4 linked regions of the Arabidopsis thaliana genome follow. The protein of the gene in region 1 interacts with the protein of each later gene in a pairwise test. Each region holds a gene or a part of one and is shown in the gene's direction. Other genes may lie near its edges. The genes, in order: AT5G44090, MPK18, AT2G44710 and WRKY7.

What was found.
Region 2: the proteins of AT5G44090 (region 1) and MPK18 interact in a two-hybrid assay, tested with the Arabidopsis thaliana proteins (one large-scale study listed by BioGRID).
Region 3: the proteins of AT5G44090 (region 1) and AT2G44710 interact in a two-hybrid assay, tested with the Arabidopsis thaliana proteins (one large-scale study listed by BioGRID).
Region 4: the proteins of AT5G44090 (region 1) and WRKY7 interact in a two-hybrid assay, tested with the Arabidopsis thaliana proteins (one large-scale study listed by BioGRID).

Annotation. Positions count from the first base shown.
Region 1 is NC_003076.8:17,742,511-17,750,370, reverse strand, and holds AT5G44090 (Calcium-binding EF-hand family protein), read left to right. Parts: upstream 1-1,845; 5' UTR 1,846-2,461; coding exon of another isoform or gene 2,462-2,611; 5' UTR 2,612-2,776; coding exon 2,777-3,031; intron 3,032-3,119; coding exon 3,120-3,359; intron 3,360-3,710; coding exon 3,711-3,816; intron 3,817-3,918; coding exon 3,919-4,018; intron 4,019-4,469; coding exon 4,470-4,575; intron 4,576-4,694; coding exon 4,695-4,785; intron 4,786-5,135; coding exon 5,136-5,277; intron 5,278-5,574; coding exon 5,575-5,722; intron 5,723-5,834; coding exon 5,835-5,944; intron 5,945-6,375; coding exon 6,376-6,532; intron 6,533-6,633; coding exon 6,634-6,759; intron 6,760-6,966; coding exon 6,967-7,107; 3' UTR 7,108-7,120; intron 7,121-7,259; 3' UTR 7,260-7,605; downstream 7,606-7,860. Other genes in the region: ckl7 (casein kinase I-like 7), read left to right, coding at 51-136, 229-292, 393-526, 612-917.
Region 2 is NC_003070.9:19,969,821-19,975,955, reverse strand, and holds MPK18 (mitogen-activated protein kinase 18), read left to right. Parts: upstream 1-1,562; 5' UTR 1,563-1,797; coding exon 1,798-1,821; intron 1,822-2,029; coding exon 2,030-2,438; intron 2,439-2,534; coding exon 2,535-2,662; intron 2,663-2,752; coding exon 2,753-2,812; intron 2,813-3,148; coding exon 3,149-3,298; intron 3,299-3,386; coding exon 3,387-3,542; intron 3,543-3,661; coding exon 3,662-3,873; intron 3,874-4,007; coding exon 4,008-4,109; intron 4,110-4,315; coding exon 4,316-4,491; intron 4,492-4,564; coding exon 4,565-4,995; 3' UTR 4,996-5,622; downstream 5,623-6,135. UniProt on the Arabidopsis thaliana protein: Mitogen-activated protein kinase (MAPK) that is specifically regulated by PHS1 and MAPKKK20 and mediates signaling that regulates cortical microtubule functions, maybe through regulation of microtubule dynamic instability.
Region 3 is NC_003071.7:18,431,126-18,437,726, forward strand, and holds AT2G44710 (RNA-binding (RRM/RBD/RNP motifs) family protein), read left to right. Parts: upstream 1-1,560; 5' UTR 1,561-1,776; coding exon 1,777-2,056; intron 2,057-2,107; exon of another isoform or gene 2,108-2,331; coding exon of another isoform or gene 2,332-2,356; coding exon 2,357-2,913; intron 2,914-2,996; coding exon 2,997-3,086; intron 3,087-3,177; coding exon 3,178-3,417; intron 3,418-3,701; coding exon 3,702-3,923; intron 3,924-3,997; coding exon 3,998-4,355; intron 4,356-4,460; coding exon 4,461-4,774; intron 4,775-4,866; coding exon 4,867-4,970; intron 4,971-5,062; coding exon 5,063-5,166; intron 5,167-5,262; coding exon 5,263-5,333; intron 5,334-5,414; coding exon 5,415-5,504; 3' UTR 5,505-5,506; exon of another isoform or gene 5,507-5,673; 3' UTR 5,674-6,096; downstream 6,097-6,601. Other genes in the region: AT2G44700 (Galactose oxidase/kelch repeat superfamily protein), read left to right, coding at 1-996; AT2G44730 (Alcohol dehydrogenase transcription factor Myb/SANT-like family protein), read right to left, coding at 6,322-6,601.
Region 4 is NC_003075.7:12,569,927-12,574,304, forward strand, and holds WRKY7 (WRKY DNA-binding protein 7), read left to right. Parts: upstream 1-1,611; 5' UTR 1,612-2,003; coding exon 2,004-2,779; intron 2,780-2,881; coding exon 2,882-3,007; coding exon of another isoform or gene 3,008-3,011; exon of another isoform or gene 3,012-3,360; coding exon 3,361-3,520; 3' UTR 3,521-3,847; downstream 3,848-4,378. UniProt on the Arabidopsis thaliana protein: Transcription factor. Interacts specifically with the W box (5'-(T)TGAC[CT]-3'), a frequently occurring elicitor-responsive cis-acting element.

The DNA of each region.
Region 1 (7,860 bases):
TTTCAAGCCACTCTCATCTTATCTTTTTCATATTGTTGAAACTCTTACAGGTTATCAATTCGATTATGTATTTGACTGGACAGTCTTAAAGTATCCTCAAATCGGATCCAGCTCTGGTTCTAGTTCACGAACAAGGGTGATTATTAAAAATCTTATACTTGTGTTTTTACCCTCATGGTTTTTGAGTTTCTCTGTACTTACGTAAATGTAAATCTTTGGATTTTCCAGCATCATACAACAGCGAAACCCGGATTCAACGCAGATCCTATTGAAAGACAAGAGAGGATCCTAGGTAAAATTCTGCTTTTCCTACTTCTATTAAAAATCTCAAAACCATACACATCCATTCCTCACTCTAATTTCTACTCTTTTTTTATTTACCATTCGTGTAGGAAAGGAAACAACCCGATATAAAATCCCAGGTGCAGTGGAGGCATTCTCCAGAAGACACCCGACTACAACTTCTTCGCCTCGAGATCGTTCTAGATCAAGAAACTCAGACGACGGACCTTTCTCTAAGCAGACAGTAAAAATCTTACTCTTTACATACATTGTTGATCAGAACCGCTAAATAAGACAAAGACCTAACTGTGTTTGTTTTATTTGTGCAGCATGGAGACTCCGAAAGAGCAAACAGTTCCTCAAGATATAGAGCATCTTCTTCTAGGAAAGCCGTTGCTGCTTCAAGCTCCCGGCCAAGTTCTGCAGGTGGACCAAGCGAAAGCCGAACTTCAAGTCGTCTGGTTTCCTCAAGCGGTGGTGGTGGCAGCGGCAGTGGAAATGGCCGTCCCTCAACTAGCCAGAGAGTGCAAGCTGGATATGAATCCAAGACTCTGTCTTTCTCTCGTGCAACAGCGGCAAGAAACACTCGGGAAGATCAATTAAGAAGCTTCGAGCTTCTCTCTCTTCGGAAATAAAGGAAAATGATGGAGAGAGAGACAGCAAACTCCATGAAAACCCAAAGAAATTACCTCTGAAGAAAGATGAGAATCTTGGTTTGAGGGAATTCATATATTTGAACCTGATGAAATCCTCAGATCTTTTTACATGTAATTTCAGCTTCAGCTTGCAGAGATCTTTTTCACTCGTTTTGTTTATGTAATCGTGATATGTGTTAGACAAACATAACAATCAAAAATGTAGAGAGAGTTTCCATGTAAAAACGGTAAAATTTCTATCCGTATATTCGATTACTTCGAACCTATCTGTACTGGTACTGTAATAAACAAAACAATCAACTGCTCTTTGGTCTCTTTTAATGCTTCTGTTTTTTTGGGGCAGGCATACTCTGGTCAAATCATGTAAAAACGGTGAAATTTTGGCTTAATAGTAAAATTAGCTCATCTACTTAGTCAAATCATACTTTAGATGACTCCAATCTAAAACTCTTTATTTTTATTTTTTCCATACTTCAAATGTTTACTTATTCACTGATCGTATACTTGAATGGTTATAGTTAAACTCTTCACATTTTGTTAGCGCTCATCTTCGAATAAAGTGGCAAAACTGAATTTCATATTGAAGTTACACATATAAAATACATTCATTTTTAGATTCATATGATCTACTCCTACATACTTTTGCATTTCGACTAAAAAAGCAAGTGCTCCAATACAATTTTTGAGAAATGACAAATATTCATCATCATTCTTCAAAACTAGGTTTACACATGTGAAGTCACATTTTTATGACTTTAATGAATCAGTTGCAATCTTGATGATAACAGTCGAAACGTCATGAAGTTTAACAACCAAACAAACAATTTGATCGCTAATTTCTGCGATTTATTAATTGACTCGAGACTCAAATAAACATGATCGCAAAAACGGATAAAGAACGCTGGATTTGGTTGACTTTTTGGTCAACGTTGAGGACTAAAAGTGGAAAACAAAAATACCACCACCACCGCTAGTACTACTGCGTCTGAGACTGAGAGAGAGTATTAAAATCAAAATTAAATACTTTTTCCTTTTTAATTCATTTTCTCATCAATAACACAATCTCCCTGGAAAAATTCTCTACGACTTCCTCTCGTCGTCGAGCTTGTTATTGATCGGAGAGAGAGATCAGTGTTCTTTGGATCTTCCAATTTCTTCCACGTTTGTGCTTGAATTGCAGAAGAAGTTTTGTATAGGACTCTGTTTTGCTTGTTGATAGAATTTGGGAATCTAGGGTTTATCGAATCGTTTATTTTGGTTTTCGTTTAGTTTCTCTTCTTCGAGCTGGTGTTTCTCAACTAGTTAGAGAGTTTCTCGATTGGTCAGAGCTGCTTTTATTGAATTTTCTTTGGATTTCGTGCTTATAGATCTTTGAAAAGTCTGAGAATCCTGTTTTGGAGTTACTGCTTCAAGTTATTGGAAGAAATTAGGGTTTCGATCCAATTTTAGAATTGACTCAAGGAATTCCGATATTGGGGTTTTGTTGTAGTTCTGATTCTCAGTGAATAAGATAGAAGATAATCATGGAAATCGATGGTGGAAACGATGTTCAGATTTTGGATCCTGAGCTCTTGCAGCTTCCCGGTTTGTCTCCTGTATCACTTAAAGAAAATCCTCATATTGCTGAAGAACTCTTCTCCCAGTGGCTTTCACTTCCTGAAACTGGCCGATTGGTAATTTTATTCCCAAGCCTCTGGCTCAGTGGCTCCTTAGCGTCGTTTGGTTTCTTGTTCATTTAATAGTTGGCGCCTGTTTTATGTATATGCTGATACCTGTTCGTAAGTCCTTGTTGTGACTTTATCTGATTTCAAGTCAATTTCTGCAGAGCAAGATTCAACATGCTTATTGCTCTTACTGAATCCTCGGCTGTTGCATATTTAGTAGTTTTGTTTATTTCTTATAGATTTTACTTAGTGTTAGATAAAGAGTGCTTGAATAGCACATTTAGGGGTTATAATGACTTAGGTGATAATAGTACTGGGATATTACAAGGCTCTGCTAAACTTGAGAAGTGTTTGTATTTGTGTAGTACCAGATTTAACTTAAAGCTCCTGAGAATATGGTCCAGTGTTGTATGCCGATTGCCGACTCATGTTGGTGAAGAAACTTTTGGTGGTTGTTTTTCGTTTAAGGTTTTACGTGGTCCTCTTTTAACAGTTCATCTGTGTGATGTTTGTGCAGGTCAAGTCTTTAATTGATGATACTAAATCTAGTACCCCAGTCAGTGTATCCAAAAATTGTACTAGTCTCAATGTTGCTTGCGGGAGTGCATTGCCATCTGTTTTTCTGAACAGCGGCACTCCCCCACTATCCCCACGAGGCTCACCTGGGTCTCCCCGTTTCTCGAGGCAAAAGACAAGCCCTTCTCTACAGTCTCCTCTGAAATCAGTCAGGGAACCAAAGCGCCAACTCATTCCACAGGTTCGATTTTTTATCCAACTGCTCCTCATATGGATGTCTTACAAACAACATGAGAAGGCACTACCTTGCTTGACAGTTGACATCATGATTTGATTGTTTTATATATGCTCACGTAATTGTTGAAACTAGACTGTAATAGTTTTCTAAGTAGATGGAGAACCACGAGAACAAATACAATAGAAACTAAATTCTTCGTTCAAGTAGCATAGGTACAATTTTTTTTTTAACAAAACGATGACAACAAGTAAGTTTATTATGGTCATCCGTTTGACATCTTACATAGTTGAAGGGTTTAGCTAATATTGTTCAACATTCTTGTTTGACGCTTCTATGCCTTGATATGCTATGCAGTTTTACTTCCAACATGGACGTCCACCTGCGAAGGAACTAAGGGAGCAATGTATATCCATGGTTGATCAATTTTTTAGTAACTATATAGACGGACTTCATATGGATGGTGATGTTTAAATACAAGCTTTTTTACATCACAGTCCCGTTCTGTAATGAATAGACAAACAGTTGATCTTACAAACACATTCTTGCTATTGTTCAATTGCAGAATTCAAATCCATTACTAAAGAAGTCTGCAAGCTGCCTTCTTTTCTTTCCTCTGTACTATTTAGAAAGATAGACACGAGTGGCACCGGTATCGTTACAAGGTAAATCATTGTGTTCTTTCTTTTCATATGTAATTGTAGTTAAATGTATATATCCACTGGTATTCATATGTGTTTCATGTAATATAATAATAGATCACATTGGTCTGGATTTCCAGATGCACGCTCAGCTATTTGTTTCATAAATTGCTCACCCTTAAAAGAAATGGAATGTGGCATAGTAATTTTAATACCTGATTGTTATCTTTTTATTTATTTATGCCACTCGAATATAATTTCTTTTTACTTTCAATAAATTTAGTGTGCTCGATTTTATATATTGTTTAGAACATTTGTGATAAGTAATATTGAAGTTTCTACCCTGTAGATATTGTTTGGAATTGATACATCTTTAAATTAGCCAAATCATGAGTAATATCATAGAAATATACAGCAGCTGTAATCTTTCTGTTTAGCTAGTATCTTTTAAATACACCATATTTGGTTCCTGCAGGGATGCATTTATCAAGTATTGGGTTGATGGACATATGTTGGCAATGGACGTAGCCTCACAGATATATAATATTTTAAGGCAGCCAGGTTGCAAGTACCTTAGACAGGTCTCTTTGTTTTCTTTTCCCAGCTCTTCACTGCTGTTTTGATTTGTTTACCAATGATTATTGTCTCACTTGATTTCTTTAGTCCTGAAGGCTAATGTCTTCTTTTGGATTTGGGATAGGCTGACTTCAAACCAGTTCTTGATGAGCTTCTGACAACTCATCCCGGCTTGGAATTCCTGAGGAATACACCTGAGTTTCAAGAAAGATATGGTAAGAACTTGGTTTTTGATACATTGATGTTATGGTGTGAAATAGTTCTACCAGAATGTCTGTTTTCTACTAAGACGTTCGTACAATTTCTTTCCATATATATATGATCTTTCAAAACGCATTGACGAACTTGAAAGTGACATCTTTAGCTGGCTTGATTGGCCTAGGCAATAATTCTTCTAATTTTAATTCTATGTACTTGTTCATTATAATTACATTTTGAAAATTATGAGATGCTTCTTAAATATAGTATATTTTCAGGTGCTTACTGTTTTATACATCTATTGACTAATTCATAATTTTTCCCGTGCTTGTTTCATTCATCTCTGTGTTCTATTCCGTCAACCCAGCTGAGACCGTCATCTACAGAATATTTTACTACATAAACAGATCAGGTACTGGTTGCATTACTCTTAGAGAGCTGAAGCGTGGGAATCTTATTACTGCCATGCAACAAGTTGATGAAGAAGACGACATCAATAAAGTTATTAGGTGACTTTGTTTTCCTTTTCATTATTTCTTAAACAATACGTTAAAAAGATTAAGATTTTAGTTTTATTTGTATAATAAAGACCACTTTAAGTTGTTTAAGAATTCAAGCTCAGCAAGGTGTGTAGCATTGTGAGTAATATGGGTAGTGCATAGGTCTTCGAATTGTTTCTTAGACATAAGCACTACCCATAAAACTCATAAAGAGGAAGAAGTGTATTGGTAGTTCATATTGTGATACTGTGGCAAGACATCATGCATGATTTGACCATTCAATATGACCTTTTCTTTACTTTTCAGGTACTTCTCCTATGAGCATTTCTACGTGATATACTGCAGATTTTGGGAACTCGATGGCGACCATGATTTCCTTATTGATAAGGAAAATCTCATCAAATATGGTAATCATGCCCTTACCTACAGGATTGTCGACAGAATATTTTCACAGGTTGGCTCCAGTTGTCAAAATGTTAATGAACACTTTTCTCGAAACTTAATTGTTATCTTATGGAGTGTGTTTCCTTCTTTCTTAATTGAAATTACGGCTGTCTCTCACTCAGGTTCCTAGGAAATTTACAAGCAAAGTTGAGGGGAAGATGAGTTATGAAGATTTTGCATACTTTATTCTCGCTGAGGAGGATAAGTCATCTGAGCCTAGTCTTGAGTATTGGTACATGTCTCTTCCCCTCTTCTCTTTTTGTCTTTAGTGACTTCTCTTTAGCCATTTTGTCCTTTAGCTGCTTAGCTCACAGTATGTCACTATAAATGTATAACTTCTGAGCCAAAACTTGTGGCATATGTGGCCTTCTTGATGATACAAGCCTACCTGATATTTTGAACGCACTAAACATTTAGTAGTACTATTATTTCATGAACATAGGATACCCATCTTGAATCTAAGACATTTTCATTCATCATCTCATGAACCTAGAACATTTTCATTCATCATCTCATGAATCTAGAACATTTTCAGTTGAACCGCTGATATGAGGGCATACCTCGCTGGTATGCTCATCTATCTCCCATCGATGTTAAACACAGGTTCTTGGCAGTTTTTTGTTTTTCGTTTTCCCTTGATATTGATTAAAACCATCTTTGCAGGTTCAAGTGCATAGACCTAGATGGAGATGGGGTGATCACTCCCAACGAGATGCAGTTTTTCTACGAAGAGCAGCTGCATCGCATGGAATGTATAACCCAGGAACCTGTACTCTTTGAAGATATCCTATGTCAAATATTCGACATGATTAAACCAGAGGCAAAATTTCTTTTAAACCATAACATGGTCTTTTGATATTCCTGGCTTGTCTGTTCCTTTGCTCTTATTCGCATCATCAATTTGTCGAATGACTCTTTCAGAAGGAGAACTGCATCACACTCCAGGATCTGAAAGCATCCAAACTTTCTGGAAATATTTTCAATATACTCTTTAACCTGAACAAATTCATGGCGTTTGAAACCCGTGACCCTTTTCTCATTCGTCAGGTAAACATAGGTTTTCTATAGAGTTTTCCTCCCTTTGGTTATTCAATCCTTCGTTTAGCTGTTGAAACTGTTACTACTGAATATTTATTAATGCCATAAAAATTCGCAAAAATTATTATAAGTTCAGATAGTCACCTACTACTGCAGCCGGTTGTATCTGTTCCAGTCTCTGCTACTTCTAAACCAACTTTGTTTTCCATTTGACAGGAACGTGAGAATCCAACATTGACGGAATGGGACCGATTTGCTCAGAGAGAGTATGTGAGGTTGTCAATGGAGGAAGATGTGGAGGAAGTCTCGAATGGGAGTGCAGATGTTTGGGATGAACCACTCGAATCTCCATTTTAGTGACTCGTAAGAGGTACTTTGTTCAACACTGGTCAGCATCATGTTCCTTATGCATGTATGAAATAGCAAAATTGATGTGCTCAATGTTACAAGTTTGTATCTTTTGGTATATTAAACGTATTAAAAGCCGTTTTCGTTGCTTTTTTTACTAGTTTCTTGGGAAGAAGAGGGAGAAGTCAGATCTTCTTGGGTGGTAAGAGCCTCGGAAACAATTTTCAGACAGACAACCACGAAAGCCAGTCCATTCCACGGTTCCACCTAGAGATTGGCGACCAAGAGACTTATCCGATGCGTAAGCTTGTGTTAGTTTCATGAAATATTTGTCTTGCTTAGGTTTCTCAGGTTGGACCCTCTTTCAATCTTATGTATATTATTATATACGCCGCTTTATAGTGTTTTGTGGAACCAACAACAACGGTTTTATTTAAAATCGAAAGAACTATGTACAAAGACACTTTTTTTTGTGGGAAGAAATTTACAAACCTTGAAACTTGTTTTACATGATCATTGTTTTTGCTTTTTCCTCATTAGCAAATTTGTGCCTATGATATCAACTACAATTCTCGTATAAACTATAGAATATCAAATCAAATTATATACTATATATCAGTTTTTGATTGGTTTGAGCCGACATTGGTTATTTGTTTGTATAAGAATCATTAAAACTTTGTTTGTCAATATGATATTTTGGAAGATGTGTTAAAAAGTCGTGCATTTTGTTTTAACAAGCATGAACTCACTTTCTATGGCGGT
Region 2 (6,135 bases), on another chromosome or scaffold:
AATTATCATTATTTATGGGTGATCCCTTTTTTCTTCTATCATTATATATGGTTCATGGAATTTTAATAAGATGTAACTCAAATAAATAAACAAACAAAATAAATCTGCTTGGTGGAGATATTTTGGCTCCTCCAGTCAAAACTCTAAAACATACATACACGAAAAGCATGATTCATGTGATGAATGGTAATATTGTGTCCACTCTGTTGAATTCTGACTCATGATTATATATATATATATATATATCTTCGAATTATTAAACTTGCAATTCAAAATATTATATATATCATTTTGAAAAACCATTAAAACTATTTTAAAAATAGATATGCTGGTTATATATATTATGCAGAGCCTGGTCTAAATAGATAGAACCAGTCAACCATCATTTATATTTATCTTTGGCCGATAATTATTTTAAAATGCGCACTTAGTCAAAAGAGAGTAAAATTATGATTTTAAAACCGAAAGTAGAAGAAAATGAAAAGCAATGAAATATGCAAAAAGGATCAACTTTAGTTATAAGTTATAACGCCTTAAAATATTGACAATAAATTGACACATGCACCACCTACATCGTCGTATAGTGTGAAATTATATGGAGTATGATAATTTGAAATTATGATATTTTGTACTTTAGATAATGAACCAACTTTGGATTTGAATGCCTCAGATACAAATGAATAATAAGATGTTGGATTTGTTTTAATCAAGATCAGTTATAATATTATCATAATCTTCACCTTTTTGTGGATTTGCCCCTATTGTGATAAACTTTTAATATGAGCCAGACACTAAATATGTTGGTCTTTTCAATAAATACAAAAGCCAAATTGTGTAAATTGACATGTGAATATTAGTTTCACACGAATTGCAAAATTATTAATCTATTTATTTTATTTTATTTTCTATCAAATACTAAGTCATATACCAATGAGGATGGCAGTTTTTTTTTTTCTTTTGATTTTGTTTTTATCATCCCATAGTATCAAGCAAACAACTTGACACTTGGAAGGTCTTTTTCTCAAGGTTAGTTGATTTACATGGAATAAATGTTCATCAAAGATGGTATTTTATCCTAATATATTAATCGTGTATCGTCTTTACCAAAATAAATTAAAATCTAAGACAAATATCCTTCAACAATATTTATTTACATATGAATTAGTCAATTGTATATAGATTTTTCAATCTTAAAAATTTAAATCAAGGAATATAATAAGCAAAATTGAGATAATGTTAATAATATTCCTTTCAGTGGTACGAGAAATACTATCACGTGGGGGTTAAATTGACCACTTATCAAAAAGAATGGTTAGAATCAAAACAAAATTAAGATAGGGGTCAAAATCGGAATTTAAGAAAAATAAAACGGTCCAAGTCCAGCAACAGGTGTCTAAACCATTGGGTCATTTTCCAAAAAGGTCGTCCACAGACCACAGTGGGAGAAAACCAATATTTACTTTACCCTCAAATGTTGTCTAAAACTACGAAACTGCCACTATCTGGGATTTGTCACACCCGTACGCAATAAGTACCACGAGAAATTGCTAGAATTAGAAATTATTTTTATTCAAATTTAGAAAAAATATCTCAAATTCGGTATTTTTAAAATCCTCTCTCGTCTTCTTCTTCTTCGATCGCTGGATCTAGGTTTTGCTCTTCTCTGTATCGTCTTCTTCACAGACTGGGCTTGATTTTGAGTTCTTCTAGTTTTCGGATTCTTAGCAATCTAGGTTTTTTTTTTTTTTTTACTTTTCGAAAAGCCGATCCAGATTTTTGATAATTTTGAAGAAGAAGATGCAACAAAATCAAGTGAAGAAGGTTCGCTTCTTGCTCTCTATCTCTCTCAATCATGCTTTGATTCTAAATGTGGGAAACAGAGGATAAAGTCTTATCCTTTTACAAATTTAAAGACAAAAAAAATAAAATCTTTCCTTTTTCAATTGCAATTAGGTTTGGTTTTGTTGCATGAGCATAAATAAGATGTGTGGATAAAGTTTGTGTTTTGTCTACTTTTGTGATTCACTAGGGCACGAAAGAGATGGAGTTTTTCACAGAGTATGGTGATGCAAACAGATATAGGATTCTGGAAGTTATTGGTAAAGGAAGCTATGGAGTTGTGTGTGCAGCTATTGATACACATACTGGAGAGAAAGTTGCTATTAAGAAGATTAATGATGTCTTTGAACATATTTCTGATGCGCTTCGTATTCTCCGTGAAGTGAAGCTTCTTCGGCTTTTACGGCATCCTGATATTGTGGAGATCAAAAGCATTATGCTGCCTCCTTCTAAGAGAGAGTTTAAAGATATCTATGTTGTGTTTGAGCTCATGGAATCAGATCTTCATCAAGTTATTAAAGCTAATGATGATTTGACTCGTGAACACCACCAGTTTTTCCTTTATCAGATGCTTCGTGCTTTAAAGTTCATGCATACAGGTGTGATTCGTTTCATTGTTTCAGACCTGTGAATCTTGGCAGCATGTTTTGTATTTTTTCTGGTTGTAACTTACTGTTATCCTTTTGTTCATGCAGCTAATGTTTATCACCGTGATCTTAAGCCAAAGAATATACTTGCAAACGCAAATTGCAAGTTGAAAGTTTGTGACTTTGGATTGGCTAGAGTAGCGTTTAATGATACTCCTACGACAGTCTTTTGGACGGTTAGTAGCCTCGAGGAGGAGACCTTTTGTTTGTTAGCCGTTAATTTGTGTGTTTGATTTTTCTCTCTGACTCATTTAATCGCAATGCAGGACTATGTTGCCACAAGATGGTATAGAGCACCTGAGCTCTGTGGATCATTCTTTTCGAAGGTAGGTGTTACTGTGGATTTCTTCTATGCATTCTAATTGGCTATGCTTAGGTCTTATGAACAGATTAGTCTTCTTTAGTGTAGAATATATGCAGATTAGTGTTAATAGCTGATATTTGATGTTACTTGTATAAGTATAGAGTTGTGCCCCAGTGGGATATTAAAATAATTCTTGTTCAGGGATGACTTGAACTCTCCCCGAAGTTGAAAATCTATGAATCAGGTAACCTTGTATCAGGTTATGTTCATTGAGTGGTTTCTTTTGCATCTGCAACTTCATATTCATGGATTTTGTTTTTTCATCATAATCTGATTTACAGTCAAAATTATTCTGCAGTACACTCCAGCTATCGACGTTTGGAGCATTGGCTGCATCTTTGCAGAGGTACTAACAGGGAAGCCATTGTTTCCGGGAAAAAGTGTTGTCCATCAGTTGGAGTTGATTACTGATCTTCTTGGCACACCAAAATCAGAAACAATTTCTGGAGTATGATCCGTTTTTCTTCTTCACATTAATTTCTGGAGTACGTATATATATTGAACTGTATAGCTAAACATTTATTTCTCTGATGCAGGTTCGTAATGATAAAGCTAGAAAATACTTGACTGAAATGAGGAAGAAAAATCCTGTCACCTTCTCGCAAAAATTTTCCAAAGCAGATCCATTAGCACTCCGTCTTTTGCAGAGGCTGTTGGCTTTCGATCCAAAGGATCGACCGACTCCTGCAGAGGTCTCTTTTCTGTCTTTTTCACTTTGTAATTAGATTCTTCTTCGGTCCTCTTTGTAAAGCTGCCTTGCGTCTTGTGTGTATCTCTCTGCTTACTTTGCTATCTTTTTGTTTTTCGATAGGCATTAGCTGATCCTTACTTCAAGGGTCTTTCTAAGATTGAAAGAGAACCTTCAAGTCAGCAAATCTCGAAAATGGAGTTTGAATTTGAGAGGCGAAGGTTGACAAAGGACGACATTAGAGAACTAATATACAGAGAAATACTGGAGTACCATCCTCAGTTGCTCAAGGACTATATGAGCGGATCTGAGGGGTCTAATTTTGTATATCCTAGGTTTGAATTTCTTCCTACCTTTTATTATTATTTACCAAATGAAACATTTCTTGTTTCTTTCTCCCGTTGAATTTATGTCCAATCGCGTACCTCTGCCTGGCTTTTTATTCATGTTTTTACTTTTTCACTTGCAGCGCCATTGGACATCTTAGACAGCAGTTCACTTACTTAGAGGAAAATAGCAGTAGAAATGGGCCGGTCATACCTCTCGAGAGGAAACACGCATCACTACCGCGGTATGTTTTCTCATTCTTTATATACAAGTCGACTGTAGGGAATATGCTTATTCTTTTGTTCTTTCTTCTGCTACTGCTTAGCATTTGTGAAGCATATGGTCGAAGGCCTCAAGCAAACTTTCATATGTTCTCTACTCTTCTAATTCTAAAAACTTTCATATGTTCTCTACTCTTCTAATTCTAATAGATATGATTGTTTTCCACAGGTCTACGGTTCACTCAACTGTAGTCCATTCCACCTCGCAACCCAACTTGGGTGCAACAGATAGTAGACGTGTTTCTTTCGAGCCTTCAAAAAATGGAGCTTCTTCTGCAGGACATCCATCAACTTCCGCGTATCCTACTAAATCCATCGGACCTCCACCAAGAGTTCCACCATCAGGTCTCAATCATATCTCCAAATATTATTTCCTAAAGTTAGAAACTTCAACTAACTTTCACCCTATGTTTTACAGGTAGACCAGGTCGTGTTGTGGAATCATCTGTATCTTATGAGAATGGCAGGAACCTCAAAGAAGCTTATTTCAGAAGCGCGGTTTCATCTCCTCATTGCTACTTCCGACCAAACACCATGACAAACCCGGAGAACCGCAACATAGAAGCTTCGTCTTTTCCACCAAAGCCACAAAATCCTGTCCACCAATTCAGTCCCACTGAGCCACCAGCTGCTACAACTAACCAAGCAGACGTTGAGACTATGAACCACCCAAACCCTTACTTTCAACCACAGCTCCCGAAGACAGATCAATTAAACAACAACACACATATGGCCATTGATGCTAAGCTGTTGCAGGCACAATCACAGTTTGGTCCAGCAGGAGCTGCAGCGGTTGCAGTAGCAGCACACCGGAACATAGGCACAATTAGTTACAGCGCAGCATCATAGACAACACTTCAGACAGATCTTTAACCACCACATCTTCCTCCACCAGGTGATTCTCTAGTTTTTATGTAAGTATTATTCAGTCCAGGCTCTGATATGAACTACGTTGCAATGATATAAGAAAGACTTTTATTTAGTTGTAACTCTCCAGAACAAGATCGCCTTGGATTAGTCTGATTGCGGGTCAGTCCCGGTTATTGTTTCGGTTATCTTGTTGGCTCCATAATCTTTGAATTTGCCATAAGCGTAGTTCACCGTAGAGAAGAATATCGTGGTGATTATATACTTCTTAAACTTCTTAATCGGTCCCATTAGTCTTTATTGTTCTTCAACAAAAAAAGGAATCTCTTTGGTTATTGGAAAATATGGTCTTGATTGGTTAATATAGACAACATTATGCCGAAGAATGTGGAAGTAACAAAATAAAACATTGGTCCTTAGATTTTTCTTCTGTAAACCACTCTTTCTCAGATTATATAATTAGTCAATTTTATTCAATGGTTACAAAAAGAAAAAAAAAAACTTGCCAATGAAAAAAAGGAATGCTCTTGACCTCAAGACTCATCATGGTTAACAATGAAATTCGCCTTAACTTCGAAATTTTGACGCCGTTGAAATGTTTATAATTTACCCGCCAAGTTTGTAGGCCTGAGTTTAGCCCATTAAAGGTAATATTAGGCGTCCATTAATCATAACGAATATCACTTTCTCAATTTAACAAGTCATGAGAAAGTGTACACATTTGATCTATTTAATATTTATTAACCAAAAAGGAAGCAAATCAATTATTTCGTTACGTGACGGTGGCATTAAGCATCTTGCATTGAATGATCCGTTATATATAATCTCAGGTTTTTTTTGGGTTGAAATGATGATATTAAATTTTAGGTTGACATGTACTTATCTTTGTAATCAACTAATTAAATATTTGAACTGACATGTCTACGTTATATCATAAATAAACCAGGTGTTTTAATTAAATACCACGATTAACCTTCTAAAATAAGGAAAATCATATTTTATTCGTCAATCACTATAATTTGGAAAACGATGCAATATATTTATTTCTTTCTTTATACACATACTTAATTAATTATCAAAATTTCATTCTATTTTAATTGATCTGAAATGTCCTAATTTAGT
Region 3 (6,601 bases), on another chromosome or scaffold:
ATGATCTTAGCCCGCGTCCCAAAACGATATTACCCAATCCTCTGCTCCGTCTCCAAGAACATGCGGAGTCTTGTTCGCTCGCCTGAAATTCACAAGGCTCGATCTTTACTCGGAAAAGATTATCTCTATATCGGCTTCATCGACGAAAATTATCGCCCCGTATACGACTACTGGTACACTCTCCGGAGAATCGAGAACAGTACGACCGAGAATCTCTTCGAATCCATTGAGTTCCCTTATCCTTCCGAGCCTAATCGATTTTCCATGAACGCCGTTGGTCCAAAGATCTTCTTCATTTCAGAATCTTGTACTCCTTCATCAAGACTTTCGATCTTTGACACCCGATTTGGGGAGTTGCGTCAAGGACCTTGTTTGCTAGTGAAGCGAGGGTACAATTGCGTAGGACTAGTCGGCGGTAAGGTCTATGTGATCGGAGGCTATCAGGACGACGAGATTGCAGCGGAAAGCTTTGATCTAAATACGCAAACTTGGGAAGCAGCGCCGATTCCCGATGAAAAAGAAAGTCACAGGTGGATTTGTAAAGCAAATGTTTCATTTGACAGGAAGGTTTGTGCTTTAAGATCTCGTGAAGGCATGACTTGTTATGACACTAGAGATGGTTCTTGTCAGAGATCTGAGATGCCTAATGATCAATGGTCTAGAGTAGGATTGTGCGTGATTGACAATGTGCTCTTTGTTTACTTCTCTAGATTCGGGTTAATGTGGTATGACTCTAAACTGATGCTGTGGAGAGTGGTTTATGGTTTTGATCTTGACAACGCTCGATCAGTTGGAATCGGGGAATACTACGGAAAGTTGGCGTTTATATGGGAAAAACCAAGTCTTAATGTTAGTGAAAGCAAAGAGATTTGGTGTAGAATGATTGGTTTGCTTAGGAGTGAAGTAGGAATTCATGGAGCTGCAGAACCGTCTCAACTTGTCGAGATTGTCCCTAACGGTTATAGAATGTGTCATTGTCTGTCTCTTTCAGGTTAAAACATGTCTAGTACTACTTTCTTTGGTGTAAAATGATTGTTTTGGATAGGAGTGAAGTAGGAATTCATGTGACTAAAGATGATGATGTTTAATACTTTCGTTAGTCTATATCAATACAATGTGTTACAAGATTATGAATGTGTTGCGGCGTTTACGTCTTCAACTCTCGATTTATTCAATTAATGTTGCAGTTTCAGCATCTTCCTCTGTTCCACCTAATCAAGTTTGTGTTATTGTAAACTCACTCAGTTAAGTGTATTTTACATCGGAGTTGTTGTGTTGTGTTTCTCTTGCCCATTAAACCGATTCCATCGAAAACTGTATTCTTAAACCGAATAATGCAAATATAAATTATAAACCAAGACGAAACCAAAAAAAGATAACCGAAAATGAATGAAAACCGGACTGAACATCGGTAATACAATTAGTCAACCAACACACTTGAAACTCCATACGAGTAAAGGCCCATTGGGGATGAGGATATTTGGGCCAATCCTTCTTACCGTTTTTCGTTTGTTAACAATTACCGAATTAAAAGCTTGATCGCCACGTCTTTTTCTTAATAGAATATATTGATTTTATTTATCTTTTATTTTTAGACCAAGCTCAGGCTATCATCTCTCCGTTAATTAGGGTTTTCTTCTCTATCTCGATTTCAATACCATTGTTGATCCGCTGAGCTAGGGTTGTTCGATCCCGATAATTGTGTCGCTTAGCTCTGATCTCTGTTCATCGAATTTGGTTAATTTGTTTTGATTGGTTAAGATACATTGGAAAGCGATGCCACCGAAGGTTGTGAAGAGGGGAGGCGCCGCGAGAAGAGGTGGGAGGCTTACGAGATCGGCGCTCAAGGCGCAGAATCCTCACGTGGAATCTTCCCATGACGAATCTGTTAATATCGGTGAGCTCTCAGGCTCCGATGCACTGGAAGCCAAGGAGGTGACTCCGGAGGTTGATAAAACTGTTGAGGAAGAGAATCCATTAGATGTGCCGAAGTCATCGGATTCAATTGATGATTCTGAAGCTGCAGCGAATCCGCATGTTGATGTTCCGTCGAAAAGTAAGATTCTTTTAGCCTGGTTATTAATTTTGTTTCGTTTTTGGGATTCTCTACGTTTTCGTTGTTTTGATGGATCTAAGTTTCGCTTTGACGAAAGTTTGTGACTTAGAGTTCCAACATATCTGACCATAGAGATTAAATGAATGTCTGACCATTGAATGTATGAATCTAATTTGGAGGATGGATGTTTAGCTGTTTTTAATTCTGTGGAAGATAGACGTATCTTCTGAGATTGTTATCTCTGAACAAACTTTAGGCTACCTGGAATAGTGTAGATGTTTTACTCGCTTTTACTCGCAGAGGAGACTGAGGTAGAGGAATCTGTGGATGATTTTGGAAAAGATGAAAGATTGGATTTAGATGACAATGAACCTGAGTATGAGGCTGAGGAATATGGCGGGGAGGAGTTTGAAGAGAGGGAATTGGGACAGGAGGACCATGAGTTGGTAAATGAGGAGGGGGAAGAACTGGAGGAAGAGATTGAGGTCGAGGAGGAAGCTGGTGAGTTTGCAGACGAGATTGGAGATGGTGCGGAGGACCTTGATAGTGAGGATGATGATGATGATCATGCTATTGAAGAGGTCAAGCATGGAGAAACTGTTGATGTGGAAGAAGAAGAGCATCATGATGTTCTCCATGAGAGGCGTAAGCGTAAGGAGTTCGAAATATTTGTTGGGAGTTTGGACAAAGGTGCTTCGGAGGAGGACTTAAAGAAAGTGTTTGGTCATGTGGGCGAGGTGACTGAAGTTAGGATTTTGAAGAATCCTCAGACAAAGAAGAGCAAGGGTTCTGCTTTCTTGCGTTTTGCAACTGTGGAACAGGCAAAACGAGCTGTTAAAGAGCTTAAAAGCCCAATGGTAATTGTCTACACTTTAGTATTTGATGGAGAGTTTGTGTAGCTTTACATTTTGTATCATGCTCTTGGTCATTGGGACTGCAGATAAATGGTAAAAAGTGTGGTGTAACTGCAAGCCAAGATAATGATACCCTCTTCGTTGGTAACATATGCAAGATATGGACCCCAGAAGCTGTAAGTATTTGGGTGTCCGTAGATATGTCAATTAAACCCAACTCCACAGTTCGTGGTGATCCTGACAATCAGGTATTTGTTGTTGTTCCAGTTGAGGGAGAAGCTTAAACACTATGGAGTTGAGAATATGGATGATATAACGTTGGTAGAGGACAGCAACAATGTCAACATGAATCGAGGGTATGCCTTTTTGGAATTCTCATCTCGCTCAGATGCCATGGATGCTCACAAGCGTCTCGTCAAGAAAGATGTGATGTTTGGAGTTGAGAAGCCTGCAAAGGTCTCTTTTACTGATTCTTTCTTAGACCTGGAAGATGAGATAATGGCGCAGGTACTCACATTGCAGGATCAATTATTTCTAGCAACTTTCATCCTACCATGTCTTCTTTAGAGCGTTGGAGGAGTTTATAGGGGCATGTGTGGGTGCCACCTATTCTGTATGGTGACTTAGAATACTTGCTAAACCCATCATGAAAACAGAGTCAGAATACATATTCCTTTTGGCCCTCTAACAACATGCTAGATACTGAATTATTGATTGTTGGTGAATCTATTATATCTAACTTATCTATCTTGCTCATAGTAATTAGTTTTATGATATTTCTGGTGTTACAGGTTAAGACAATCTTCATTGACGGTCTGTTACCTTCATGGAATGAAGAACGTGTTAGAGACCTTCTGAAACCATATGGTAAACTTGAAAAAGTTGAGCTTGCTCGCAATATGCCATCAGCAAGGAGGAAAGATTTTGGCTTTGTAACTTTTGATACTCATGAAGCTGCTGTGAGTTGTGCCAAATTCATCAACAACTCAGAGCTAGGCGAAGGGGAGGACAAGGTATGCATAATTTAAATGCATTATCCTTATCCACGAAGTATTTTCTTGCTTTCTAATTCTCTTTTTTTTTCCAGGCAAAAGTGAGAGCACGCCTGTCTAGACCACTTCAGAAAGCAGGTAAAGGCCGACAATCTAGTCGCTCAGACCAGCGGTCTAGGCATGGGGCTGGACGGTCTGGAAGGAGTTCATTTGCTCGTCTTCCACCTCGTAGCCTTGCTTCCTCTCGGAGTGCTAGAGGCGCTGGATCTCGGGCCCCATCTTCTAGTGCAAAGAGAGCTTCTGGATCAAGAGGAAGACGTCCTCGCCCACCTCTACCTCCGCCTGCAAGAGCTAGGCCCTTGCCTCCACCTGCAAGAGCCAGGCCCATGCCACCACCTGCAAGAGCCAGGCCCTTGCCACCACCTGCTAGGTCATATGATAGAAGACCTCCAGGTACCACTGGAATTATTACATGTTTAGTTATCTTTTTTAGTTGAATCTCTTTTGTGTTCATGTATCTAATGATTCTGATCATATCTTCCATATTGTGTTTTGCAGTTCCTCTGTATCCAAAGGCTAGCTTGAAGAGAGACTATGATCGGCGTGATGAACTTCCTCCTCCAAGAAGCAGACCAGCTGTAAGCTATAGTTCCAGGCTTTCTCCTGAGAGGCATCTGTCTTACAGAGATGATTATCCACCCCGGGGTTCGGGTTATTCAGATCTTCCTAGAAGTTCTTCTCGCTCTGAAATTAGGAGGCCATTCGTAGATGACCTTTACAGTCCGAGATTTGAAAGACCTCCAAGTTACAGTGAGGGAAGACCTCGTGCTTATGAACCTCTTCCTGGATCAAAGCGTCCATATGCTGCACTGGTCTGACTTATTGTTTTCTCCGACCAGTTTGTCTTCTTAATTTTGTTTCTTTAGACTATGATTGTTTACTCTAACGAGTGTTCATTATTCAGGATGACCTTCCTCCCCGTTATGCTGATGTTGATGTTCGTCATTCAAGACCCCGTCTGGACTATGATGTTGGCCCATCTCAATATGGGGAATCCTACGGGGACCGGTATGTTCTCTTTTTATGGATAGCTTCAGTTATTTTTGGTAGCAATTTTCTGTGCCAAGTGTATTATTTTCTTACTTCCATGTTTGGTCTAGGATTCCTAGGTCTAGTCTAGGATATGGAAGCAGCCGAAATTCTATGTCAAATCATGACTCGCGGGGCCCATACAGCAGTCGTCAGGGAATGGATTATGGAGGAGGTTTGATTCAGAACTTGGCTTAACAGAGAGCAATACTTCGTCGAGATACACTTACTGCCTTCAATGGCTATAATTTCATAATGTTGCTTTCTTCAGGTTCTTATAGTGGCAGCGATGTAGGAGGTATGTACTCGTCAAGCTATGGTGGCGACTTACCCAGAAGAGATGTAAGTGGCTTCACACTTTCCCCTTTTTTATATTTATTTTGGAAAGTCAAGTTGTGTAACATTTTAGTATTGGATTTACAGGGAGGAGGTAGCTCGTATTCTTCAATTTACTCCAGCCGTGGCTTGGGTGGTAGTAGTTACTCTGGTGGTGGTCCAGGATCATACTACTGAATGTGAGTGTGTTTGGTTCCTTCCATCTTTAGTTGTGTCTTTGTGCATTATTTTTTGGTTTTGTTTGTGGGATATATTGTTGGTTGGAAAGAAAACGGTATCTCCTCTTTCAAGCTCTAAGCAGGAACTATAGATCAAATGTGTGCTTAAGTTTGTTAATGGAACACAGAATTTCACATGACCGAGGCTGCTAAAAAAGGAGGTTTGGCCATGCAAAGTTGTGTATGTAGAAAGGAAGCTACCAGCTGCGAAAGGATTAAAGCCAGCTTCGGTGAGACTGTTGGAATATTAATGGGCTTGCATCTACAACTGCACTTGTATCTTTTTTCGGATGGAATGATAAGCTCGAGTTTTATAGAGATGGTTCATAGTTGTGGGACTCGTTATCTATCTTATCTATCTCTATCTCTTGAATAATGGATGGATTTGTTGGAACAGAGATTAAGCTGTGTTTGTATTATTGATCCATCAGTTTAGTTAAGCTTTCACCGTCTTCTCAGCTTAAGATTTGCATTACTTCTGTTTAGATCTGATGCTTGCTCTGTTTTACTCTCACTGTGGTAAAACAGAGACATTATCCTTGAGACTTGTGGAAGAGACATTAACAACCTCTCACTGTCGGAAACTGAGGAACTCCCAATTTTTATACACTTTATAACATACATAATCAAGCAGGGATACATTACTGGTGTTAGACAGATGCATAAGCTAATAAAAGCTCTTTCGATTTCTACAATCTAGAAAATTTGAAAATCACACATTAATTTAATTTATGGCGCCTTTTGATCAGGAGTCAGCTAAAGACGACGACATTCTTCTATCTAGCTTTCTTCTTCTTGTCTTGCTCCTCCGTAGTAGTATAATCTGATAAGCTTTTAGCAAACGCTTCCACAATTCGTTGTTGAGATTCCAAAATCATCTTTGTCCTCTTCATCTCTGTATCCATCCTCATCGCTTCTATCTCTCTCGTCATCTCCATTCTCGTCTGCTCTGTTCTCACCAACGTATCTCCAAGCAGCTTTATCGCACTAGCTATCTCCACCATTGGATCATTATCATCCTCCTCCGTCTTCATCATCATCTCTCTCCCTCGTTTC
Region 4 (4,378 bases), on another chromosome or scaffold:
ATGAGAAAACCAAAATAAAGCCCAAGACATCCCACATATAAAGGCTCATACGACACAAAAGAAGAGATAAGCTATAGACGTGTCAGACCAATAATAATAAGCTAGGGACACGTGGAACGTCCACAACCTTCACTAGTCCTGGACAAAATATTCGTTCGATCCGCTTTAACTCAATATTCGATTTGATTTGATTCGAAAAATCCGAATATTCGTAAGATTTTGGAGCAAAGCAAATAGAAAAATGTAGTAATCGTAAAAACCGAAGCAAATAACAAATACTATTTTTTCTAAAGTCGGATATTCGCTTCGATCTATATATATATATATATATATATATCACAATATAGGTTGTGCATTTGTATATGTTGGGATTTGGGCTTGTATTTGTATCCTTTGGGCCTGTGTTTTTTTTGTGACACAGTTTTTATTAGAGAAGTGGAATTTTTTAAAATAAAATTGTTTTATTTTTTATATTTTATCCTAAAATTGTCGTTTTACTTTCCAATCCATCAAATATAAGAGCGACATTTCTGTTTCCTTTCTTCGACCTTTCACTATTTTTATCACTCAATTTGGTTACAGAATTTATAACCAGAAAATTTTCAGTTGCTCTCAATCTCACACTCGTAAGTCATAAGGTAAGAAATTTGAAATCTATGTTAAATAATTTATATAAAAAAATATTTGGATGTAGCAAAGCAAAGCGGATATCCGACAAATATCATACAAAAATCCGGATATTCGTATTTTCGGATATTTGGAAATTTTCGGATCAAAGCAAATAATAAAATTAAGTATTCGATTAAAACGAATCGAATAACAAATATCCCAAATTTTCCGGATATTCGCTTCGTGCCCAGGCCTAACCTCCACTGCACATGAGACTCAAGCCTGGTGAATCAGAAACGTCGTTGGAAAATCACCGGTCAACGAGACTTCTTTTTTATCACCAATTAAAAGTTACAGAACAAACATCAATCTCCTAATCTCATCCGATTGCAAGAATCACAAAGGATTCGGCAAAAATGGGTAAAAGAAATTAGAGAAAACTGAGTAGTTCAAACTTGTCTAACAATTAAATCTCTTGCAAGAACAACAAAGGCATATCTTAATTGCATAGGAAACGAGCTTTGACCTAACCTTAGTCGTGGAGAAATTGAAACTGTCTTAAACACAGTAGATCCAAACGAACCTAATTGTCGAGAACGCACACATCGCCGGAAAACTGTTGGAGCCAAAAAAAACAGAACCCAACGGTGAAGCCAATCAAAGCAGAAAGAAACTAAATCATGCGAAGAGAACACCTCTTCGGAACTGAAGATTCTGCCTGTCATAATGTTTCATCATCAAGATTTTAAAGCTACAAAACAAAAACAAATCCGAAGAAACCGAATTCAAAATTGCCCAAAAAGAAATCTAAATCCCGATCAACGGGAGATAATAGCCGGAAAAAATCCAGATAACGGAAACCGGAAGAAACCCGGACGGCGATTCTAAACTTACATCGGAAAAATCTTTCTCTGAAAAATACTATAGAGAGAAGAGAGAGACCTTCCTCCTTTTAGATCTTTCTTTAATTAAAAATTTAATTTTTATATTTTTAGCATCTAATCAGCCTCAAAAATATAAAATATCTTAGATTTTTCTCGAATAATAATAACGAATATATATATAATTCGAGCTCCACTTGCTCCAAATTTAAAATCATTGACGCTGAGGAGTGTCAAAACGCTTGACAAATGATCACACGTGTAAGCCTATGAGTGGTGGTCGATTTGACTGATGCACTATCAACACATACCTAAAGATATAGAGAGAGAAACGCATATCGTTGACTCTCCCCCTTTTTCACTCTCTTCATTTATTCTTCCCCTCATCATCATCATCATCTTCTTCTTTAACCAAAAACACAACTTACAAGAAAACTGTTGAATCTTTGTATTTATTTACATCTCCTTTGACCTTTAATAAGAATCTGAGTGGTTGGTCTCTGATTTGATGAGATGACTGTTGAGCTGATGATGAGCAGCTACAGCGGCGGCGGAGGAGGAGGTGATGGTTTTCCTGCAATCGCCGCGGCGGCGAAAATGGAAGATACCGCTTTGAGAGAAGCTGCTTCTGCAGGGATTCACGGTGTGGAGGAGTTTCTTAAACTGATCGGTCAAAGTCAACAACCAACGGAGAAGAGTCAGACGGAGATAACCGCGGTGACTGACGTCGCCGTTAACAGCTTCAAGAAGGTCATTTCTCTACTCGGTAGATCTAGAACCGGACACGCTAGATTCAGACGAGCTCCCGCGTCAACGCAAACGCCGTTTAAGCAAACGCCGGTGGTTGAGGAGGAGGTGGAGGTGGAGGAGAAGAAGCCAGAAACAAGCTCCGTGTTAACAAAACAGAAAACAGAGCAATATCACGGTGGTGGATCTGCGTTTAGAGTTTATTGTCCAACACCAATTCATCGTCGTCCTCCTCTATCACACAATAACAACAACAATCAGAATCAAACAAAGAACGGTTCGTCTTCTTCATCTCCTCCGATGCTCGCAAACGGAGCACCGTCAACGATAAACTTTGCGCCGTCACCACCAGTCTCAGCGACGAACTCATTCATGTCTTCTCATAGATGTGACACCGATAGTACTCACATGTCATCAGGATTCGAGTTCACTAACCCATCTCAGCTCTCTGGTTCGAGAGGTAAACCTCCTTTATCATCAGCTTCGTTGAAGAGAAGATGTAATTCATCTCCCTCAAGCCGTTGCCATTGCTCCAAGAAAAGGTTTTGATTCAACTTCTATTATTAAAAATTAATCTTATTTTAGATCTAAATCTTGAGATTTGATTAATAAAACGTTAATTATAATTTGTGTAAAAAAATCAGGAAATCAAGAGTAAAAAGAGTGATTAGAGTTCCAGCAGTAAGTAGCAAAATGGCTGATATACCATCAGATGAGTTTTCATGGAGAAAATATGGTCAAAAACCAATCAAAGGCTCTCCTCATCCTCGGTAATTATTTTTTACATTTTTTACCATCGATATATATACTCTACACATACATCACAATCACTCACTAGATTCAACACCAAAAATCAAATATTGGCTAGAAAATTAAGCAACTTGTGTATTGTCAATATTAGTACCAGAGAGATTGTCAATATTGTTTTTTTCTATATCGGTTGTACCAAACATGTTGTCTAGTAGTACAGTAGTGGGTTCAGTTTCACGCTCTTTTTGACTTGTTGTTTCCTATAGAATAAATTTGAAATAGAAAGCCGAGAGTTAAGTTGACTATTTCTTTTCTCATTAATTAATAAGAACTCGAACTAACTGGGGAGGACTCGGTGTAATGGTTATGACAGGGGATATTACAAGTGCAGCAGTGTAAGAGGTTGTCCGGCGCGTAAGCATGTGGAGCGTGCACTAGATGATGCGATGATGCTAATCGTGACGTACGAAGGAGACCACAACCATGCTTTGGTTCTCGAGACGACGACGATGAATCATGACAAAACTCTTTAGTTTCTCGAGTTTGAGGGGAACTGTCTGTGTGTGACCACTATCCAGATTAGTCAACGACAGAGTGGGCCCGCACTGCACTTTTTTATTCTTTTCTTTTTGAAAAGCTTTTGCTTTATCTTTCTTTTTGATTGGAGGAAATAGAGGGAGGGGAGATAAAGACGAGAGAGGAACGTTGTGGATCTTGATGGAAGTTGAATCATGTGAATGTCCTTTTCTGTTTATTTATTTCTAGGATAATATATATTTAGTGCACTATTTTTGTCAAATCTCTGATTCTTTTCTTACTTGCAGAACTATTTGAGTTTTTAGGGAAATTATCAGTTAATTTAGATTCAACTGACCATAATGCTATGCTGGTAATTGGAAAAAATTGCAATTCAAATTTCGTTAAACAAAAAAAAAAAGAACTATTTGTAGATTACATAGTCAAATCAACTTAACACACGTTTATAGAAACTAGAAAAGTTGTCGATCAAATAATAAGTAGCTCTAATAAGTATTTATTTCAGCATTAGTGAAAAACCTCAGATGCAATGTCGTTATCCTTTTAAGTGTGTTTTTTCCAACAAAGTTGACAATGTTTATGATTATGTTAACGGCTATAAATTCAAGTGTAAAGTACTTCAACATTTAGTAAAAAATTTAAAGCTTTACTACAAAATTTTGTTACCAAGAAAATCAGCTATTCATGCATCATTGCGTTATAACTCTTCAATATCACTTTTAAGTGATGTTTTAGAGACTTTTTTTAAAAAGATGTTTTAAAATTTTTTAGACCAATCATATTTTAGAGTATGTTATCTAATTAGTTAAAATTTGTTTAATTGTATTATATGTAAAAGAGGTAGGATTAAAGTG